2 linked regions of the Danio rerio genome follow. The protein of the gene in region 1 interacts with the protein of each later gene in a biochemical or structural test. Links are inferred from orthologs where the notes say so. Each region holds a gene or a part of one and is shown on either strand. Other genes may lie near its edges.

Region 1 (4,325 bases):
TCTATCGCCATCTTAATGTGAGCGCTTTAATGGTTAAATACATGCATATTTGTGTCAGAGCGCGGTGTTTAGTGATTATTCATATTAACCCTCATTTGTGTAGTAAACAAACAAGTTGAGAATCTAAAGACATGTGAAAGAGAAACCATATCAGAGCTGCACTATTCTTAAAGTGACAGCGCAATATTCCTGCTGTGGCCTGTTTCTATTATTAATCAAACAACAAAAGGAGAAAATCCCTCACTGCTCTTGACTGAAGGACTTTTGTAGCTGAAGTTTTTTTCTTACAGTGAAGATGCTTCAAGCTCAGTTTAAACATGACAGATTTAATCACTCATTTATTTTATCTTTGCTATGATGACAGCACATTATATTTTACTAGATATTCTCCGAGATACTAGAATTCAGCTTAAAGTGCTATTCAAAGGCTTAATTAGTGTTATTATTTAAGTTATTTTATAACAGTAGTTTCTTCTGCAAACAATCAAAAATATATATTTCTTAAAGGGGCTAATAATATTGAGCTATTAAAATATGTTTAAAATATTTAAACCTGCTTTTATTCTAGCCAAAATAAAACAAATAACCCTTTCTCCAGAAGAAAAAATATTATAGGAAATATTGTGAAAAATTCCTCTGTTAAACATCATTTGGGAAATATTTATATATAAAAAAATTCACAGAAGGGCGAATAATTTTGACTTCACGATTATTCAAAACGATTATCAGTTGATTACAATTATGACCAAAATAATCATGATCATGATTTTTCCCATAATCGAGCAGCCCTACAACCGTCACAGTTATTAAAGTCTACAACTTCTCCATATCTAAACCCAACCATCACACTTATTATGTATTACCTACTCCACTGTGCAGGTAAAGCTGCGAGTTGCAAAGCATTCATAATTGCTTTTGATGGGCTCACCATTGTACTGTTAGTAACATCAGGGAGCAACACCAAGTAGGTTAACTGTCATAAGAAAACGGATGAAGTCAGCGAGTGGAGTTGCTAAATGAATTATTATATCAAATGATTAGGTTATGAATAAATTTGGAGAAAACGCATGAAAACTTCTGCTGAAAATCTCTGGAAAGTATTTCCACCATCTTGCCAACAACATCTCGTATGGTTCAATGGGATAACTGCAAAATATGCCTCTACTACTTGCAGTTCACAGACAGATAGACTGTTTCTCAATATGCGTTCCTGTGTCCTCATGTAACGTCATCATCAACTGCCAAAGTTCACTTCTAAAACTTAAGACCGCAAGAACAGAGCATACGTAAATGTTCCCGGATGTATTCTTGAAATCAAGGATGCATCGATGCAGACTTTAGTGGAAAACTCGCTTGAGAAGTCCCAGAAGTCATTGCAGCTGAATAAAGAACAGCATCCTTTAGTGACCAGCATCAGGAAGAACGCAGCATCTCATTTCTCATAGGACACATTCTGTGTTTTCTCGGTCTCCAGAGTTCGTTCTTCTGAGGTGACCTGGCAAGACGAGAGGGTGCTCCCTGCAGAGCCATTTGAGCAGAGCTGAGCTGAGCTCCAGCGAGGGGGAGCATGAGCTCTCGCTCTGCCTCCTGAAAGCTGTTTTAATGCGTACACCAACCCCACCCCTAACCCCACCCCCAGTGACATCACTCGTAGAAGAAGTGCAAAAAAGGTGGAGCTCAAGCTCAAGCTCCCCCTCGCTGGAGCTCAGCTCGCCCAAATGGCTCTGCAGCGAGCACCACTTGGGCAAGACCGGTCTCCACAAGAACGCCAGTCCGTTGTCTGTGTTCTTGGAATTGAGAAACAGCCATACACTTGAACTGATGTTCTATTTGCCCTGGCCAATCTAAAATAATTTGAACCAATGGCATGTGTTTGGGGCGGAAATATCTGTTTGGCTAGCCAATGAAATCTGGAGGAGTGTTCAGGAAACCTGTCTGACACCAATATTATACAACTCCGTTTGTTGACTTTATGGTAGCTTTAAATAGTTACGAACATTTACTTAAACAATGTTTGCACGAATGAGGATTCGCATTGTCTTTCCTTTTTAAGCTTACCTGTGTTTTCCGGGTCCGGGTGATGTGCAGGTAAGCTCTCTGACCAGTTTTGGCATGGTGTCGGTCCACGTATTTACTCCCAAATCCGAGAAAGCTGTTCATGCAGACATACAAGCCCCCCTCACTCTCCTAAAACAATTGAAAAGAGTTGTTTTAGCAAAACACCGTGGGTCAGCAACACGCGCTCAGCGAGCCTGTCTCGCGCGCGCGCACAACAAAACAACATTCACGCGCATGATACAGACTTCTCAAGAAGACAAACCAGCATATAGCTGGGGTTTAGCCTTATAATTAGCTCTCAGATAGCTGAAGTGGTTATTTAAAAGTTGCAGGAAGGTAAATGAATGGTTTATTCGGGGTGTGACCCAAAGAGTGCAGAGTCAACAGTGCGGTGATGACTCGCCTGACATAATGAAGGGAAAATAGTGCAAACTTATCAACTGAATGAGCGAGAGTTAGCCAACATTCGGCTTTACGAAAACAAAACTAATTCAGCAGCCTTATGCAAACAAAAATGCCCGGAGTGAAGATGAGTGTGCGGTTGCTGGACTCACCGGGCTGGAGAAGGAGAAAGCGCACTCGTCTTTGTGAACACGATCCCCGGGCCTCGGAACCCGAATCGCGGACAGAACCGACATCAATATCTCGCTAACCTCCGTCATCTCTGCCTCAACAGGAATTGCCTTCTTTCCTACGCACACTTGCCCGCCTGGATTTTCTTTGGCCCCCGCTCCTGAAGTCTCTGACAGCCCCCTTGTTTCTATGATTCCCCTCAATGAAAAGCTGCTGCTGATGATCCAGTGTGTTCATTCGAGGCCAGGGGCGCTGCACACACTCGCACTGCACTCATCACAGCCGCAAGTGTTTCACCGTAAACACTCAAATAGAGCGCCTTATATTTTGTTCAACAACCCTGAATATATTTGACCACCAAAACGCAACTGTGCACATTCGTGTAAGGTATTTCTTACAATAGTTTACAATTTATGGTGTAGCAGATACGTTTATAGTACTTTATCAGTAAAGGTGAATTTTAACGGCATTCTGATTTCTTGTGTGTTTTGTGTATTACGGTAATACGGCAGCCATGACAGTTGTCAAAATGAGAAAGCGGAAATTTTGAGCTCATGTAAATAAGAATACCGACCTCGTGCGGCTCGGAGTGAAAGTGCACAACCAGCTTACAGTTTTTACACAAAAAGCCCGTTGTGTGAATCAAATTTTAAATGACCTAGACAAGTTTTCTAAATCCTTCCAGCAAAACTTTAAACAAATCCAGATTCTCTTAGCCACAGATTGCAAATTTCATGCACTCTTTATGCACAATTAAGCAGTTCTTTCACTCACTAAATCCACTGTACGCTGTTATATAGGCCACTTGTGTTGCAAAACAGCAAACACAAGCAGCTCAACACTAAACAGTTGGAATTTTTTACACACAACAACTAAAAATTGTTAAAATTTGTTTTTAATGGGTGTGAAACCAGCTGTTGAAAACATGAGGCAGGTAAACTACATAAAATAAAAAATGTAGTTGAGCCCGACTGTATAAGGTAGAATTAATCCATCATTGACTGAAGTTTCATGACTTTGACCGTAACAAGCCTTTTTAAAATTCTGTCTTTGACTAGTGCTTGACTTGACTTTATTTTTTGCATGCAAGTGCTAAACACAAACATTCAGTAATATGCAATCTGTGCTATACACTTGTCATCGGTCACTTTATTAGGTACACCTATTCAAGTACTTGTTAACGCAAATTTCTAATCAGCCAATCACATGGCAGCAACTCCATGCATTTAGGCATGTAGACATGGTCAAGACGAGCTGCAGTTCAAATCCTGCATCAGAATGTGGAAGAAAGGTGATTTAAGTGACTTTAAACGTGGCATGGTTATTGGTGCCAGGCTGGCCTGAGTATTACAGAAACTGCTGATCTACTACAATATTCACGCACAACTATCTCTAGTTTTTACAGAGAATGATCCAAAAATGATTAAATATCCAGTGAGCAGCAGTTCTGTGGGCACAAATGTCTTGTGATGCCAGAGGTCAGAGGAGAATGGCCAGACTGGTTCCAGCTGATGGGACGGCAACAGTAACTGAAATATACAATTGAGGTAGGTAGAAGAGCCTCTCTAAATGCAGAACACGTCCAACCGTGAGACAGATGGGCTACAGTAGCAGAAGACCACACCAGGTGCCACTCCTGTCAGCTAAGAACAGGAAACTGAGGCTACAATTTTCACAGGCTCACCAAAATTGCA
Region 2 (3,633 bases), on another chromosome or scaffold:
TTCTGATCCATTTGAGGTTTGCCTGAAGACAGTCAGACTTATTGGTGATGTTTCTGGTATCGCCGCCTTCACAGTGGAAAAACTTTCCTTTGAAGAGCTGCAATTGATCAAAGCAAACATGTTCATAGCATGCTCATTGCAAAAATCTAATTTAATATCCCAATATCTGTGCTGACAGATGCAATTGCTTTAAAAACCACTCTGAAAACCATGCTCTGCATTTTTTAAATGCTCCATCAGTTCATGAAGTGCTCACAGCTGAGCATTTCTTTAACTCAGATTCATTCTAAAAATGTACCTCTAAATATATATTTCTAGAAAGCGACAAATATGTCCCAGGAACTACATTTTTTTGCAGTTTTTGTTTTAAATCCACCAGAGACCACTGTGTATGCTTTTTAAGATCTCAAATTTCTCTCCTGAGTGCCTTTCGCATCTGCTATTCTTGTGTAAACCCACCAGAGGCTGCTGTTGACTGAATGACCGATCGAATGACTCACCCTCCTCCTTCCTCAAAGCCAACCAATAGTGTTTTCAAAAGCACAGATTGACCCACCCACCATCCCAGCCAACACTCCTTGATTTCAGACCCATCTCCCACCACTATCTTGTTTTGTTATTTCTTCCGGAAAACTCCCACAATATCACCCCCACCCCCCCTTAGTAAAAAAGTTCTCAACTTTTTGATACAGACTGTAACACCCCTGGGAGTGCATAGTACAGTTAATTACCCGGTTCTCAGCTGTGTTATTTAGACACTTCACTCCCGATACTGCAGCCACAACACAGAATGAGTCTGTGTTGGCATTTTTAGAACAGCACTGGTGTTTTAAGATGTCAAAATGCTTCGATTGACAATTTTAATTTGATGAGAACACCTATAGTGTCATCTTTGACCTGTTCATATTGTAAATATTTTACATTTATATCTTGCCATTTGAAAAATATTTTTAGCTAATTCGCCCCAATAAAATGTAGTGACTGATGCATTCACCTGAACTCCAAGAATGCCGAAAACAATAAAGAAAGCACAGCAGATCAGCACAATGTTCCCAATGGGCCTCAGGGACGTTATCAACGTTTCTACTACCAGCTTCAGACCAGGAGCACGACTAATTACTCTATAGAGAGAAAACAGACAAACAAAGACAAGCCATTTCAAGCTGTTTAGATTCCGTTCCATAGATTTAACATTTATACAATGACACAATTGTCTGAATGACCTTTAAGATCAATAAACCACTGCCTGCTTTAAAATCATTTCAAGGCTAACAGACTTCACTTTGCCAAGCTTAAGCTGAATCAGTAAGTGGGCTTGTAGCGTGTAGGTTCTGGAAATAATGCAACCACATAATTAACCTTCAGTTTATTCCTTAACTGGAGCAATGACCATGTAGGGGATTTCATTGATCGCCTGTGCCTCAGACGTGCATGTTTTGACCTTTCGCTGGCTCACCTCAGTGGCCGCAGAGTTCGCAGCAGGCGAAGAACCCTCAGGATGCCAAAGATTCGGTTTCCAGTCCAGGCCAGAGAGACCAGAATGTCAATGAGGGACACAAAGACCAGCACCCCATCCAAAACATTCCATGTGCTCTTTAGATAACTCTGGTTCCCGGAGTAGAAACCAAGGGCCACAACCTTTAACACAAGCCATATAACGTCTATGCAACTGTTTTATGAAATGTATGCTCTTAACAAAGAAAGAATAATATAAAACTCTAAATCATACCTTCACTGTCATTTCAGCAACAAATATCACAGTGAAAACATAGTTTGAGACGAGGAGAAATAATCGCTCCTAAAATAAAAAGCAAATGAACAAACTTCATTGTATATTCAGTAAGCAACAAAATAGCAAATGAGATTAAAGATTCCACTTACAGATTGTTGAATATGGGGTCTCTCCAGAGCAATAGTGATGCAGTTTAGGAAGATGAATACTAAAACTACATAATCAAACATCTTGTGAGAGATGAGTTTTTGACACATCATCCGAAACCTAAAAGAGAATTGTAGAACAATCACAAATGTGAACATTTCATCATGTTGAGATCTTTTTAAGCTCATGAATCATAGGCTATGAGAAGGAAACTACTCTTCAAACTACAGTATAGGTCAACAGGTGCACAGTTGTGGGAACCACATAAGTTTGGGAAACTGTTTTGAAATTTTTGGTATGCCCTGTTTCGGAAATTAGATAATTAAGTTGGGAAATTGCAAACTTAGTTTGAAAGAAGGATTAGGGAAATGCACTCCTTACTGGAAAATCTGAACCAGTGAGTCGTTAACTACAGACTCGCTCTGACCAGATCATTTGAATAAGAACTGTAAGTTGTCAACAGCACACTTGCTCTTTATGGTTCATTTAGAATCAGTGAGTCATTAACTGCAGACATGCACAGAATGGCTCATTCGAATCAGTAAGTCAATAACTGTAAACTCACTTAGAATTCAATATGTGAGTCATAAACTGCAGACTCTCTCAGAATATATCATTTTAATCGTTGAGTCATCAACTGCAAACTCGCAATGAATGAATCATTTGAATCAGTGAGTTGTTAACTGCAGACTCCCTCAGAATGAATATTTTGAATCATTAAGTCATTAACTGCAAACTCGCATTGATTAAATCATTTGAACCAGTGAGTTGTTAACTGCAGACTCACTCAGAATGGATAATTTTAATCATTGAGTCATCTACTGCAAACTTGCACTGAATGGATCATTTGAATCAGTGAGTTGTCTACTGCAGACTATCTCAGAATAGATCACTGTGATCAGTGAGTCGTCAACTGCAAACTCGCAATGAACAAATCATTTGAATCAGTCAGTTGTTAACTGCAGACTCACTCAGAATGGATCATTGCATTCATTGAGTCATCTATAAACTCTCAAAGAATTAAATATTTGAATCAGCGAGTCGCTAACTGAGGACTCGATCAGTATGGATCATTTGAATCAGTGAGAAGTCAACTGTAAACTCACATTGAATAGATCATTTGAATCAGAGAGTTGTTTACTGCAGACTCTCTCAGAATAGATCGTTTGAATCACTGAGTCATCAACTGCAAACTTTTAAAGAATGAGTCATTTGAATCAGTGAGTTGTTAACTTCAGACTCACTCAGAATGGATCATTGCAATCCGTAAGCCATCAACTGCAAATTCTCAAAGAATTAATCATTTGAATCAGTGAGTTGTTAACTGCAGACTAACTAAGAATGAATCATCATAATCATTAAGTCGTCAACTGCAAACTCGCAATAAATGAATCATTTCAATCAGTAAGTCGTTAACTGCAGACTAGATCAGAATGGATCATTTGAATCAGTGAGTCATCAACTGCAAACTCGCAATGAACGGATAATTTTGAATTAGTGAGTCATTAACTGCAGAATCACTCAGAATAGATCATTTGAATCAGTGAGTCATCAACTGCAACCTTACAATGAATGAATTATTTGAATCAGTGAGTGGTATTGCTTTCAAATCTAGTGAAGTAAAAATAAAGAGTCACACATAAAGATAAAGAAATGATGTCTAAAAATGCACTTAAGTATAGTGGTAAAATGATATCAGGACAATTACGTACTTGTTATGAGGAGAGAACAGGTAAAGTGACCATTCCTCATGA

The links. The genes of interacting proteins can lie anywhere in the genome.
Region 2: the proteins of usp5 (region 1) and cacna1ha form a complex in vitro, tested with the Homo sapiens proteins (2 studies listed by BioGRID, with this or other methods). The link is inferred for Danio rerio from reciprocal best matches to the Homo sapiens genes USP5 and CACNA1H.

What each region holds. Positions count from the first base shown.
Region 1 is NC_133191.1:12,331,952-12,336,276, forward strand, and holds the start of usp5 (ubiquitin carboxyl-terminal hydrolase 5), read right to left. Parts: upstream 2,890-4,325; 5' UTR 2,721-2,889; coding exon 2,613-2,720; intron 2,188-2,612; coding exon 2,059-2,187; intron 1-2,058. UniProt on the Homo sapiens protein: Deubiquitinating enzyme that participates in a wide range of cellular processes by specifically cleaving isopeptide bonds between ubiquitin and substrate proteins or ubiquitin itself.
Region 2 is NC_133178.1:38,867,670-38,871,302, reverse strand, and holds part of cacna1ha (voltage-dependent T-type calcium channel subunit alpha-1H), read right to left. Parts: coding exon 3,592-3,633; intron 2,000-3,591; coding exon 1,882-1,999; intron 1,799-1,881; coding exon 1,730-1,798; intron 1,639-1,729; coding exon 1,457-1,638; intron 1,122-1,456; coding exon 995-1,121; intron 98-994; coding exon 1-97.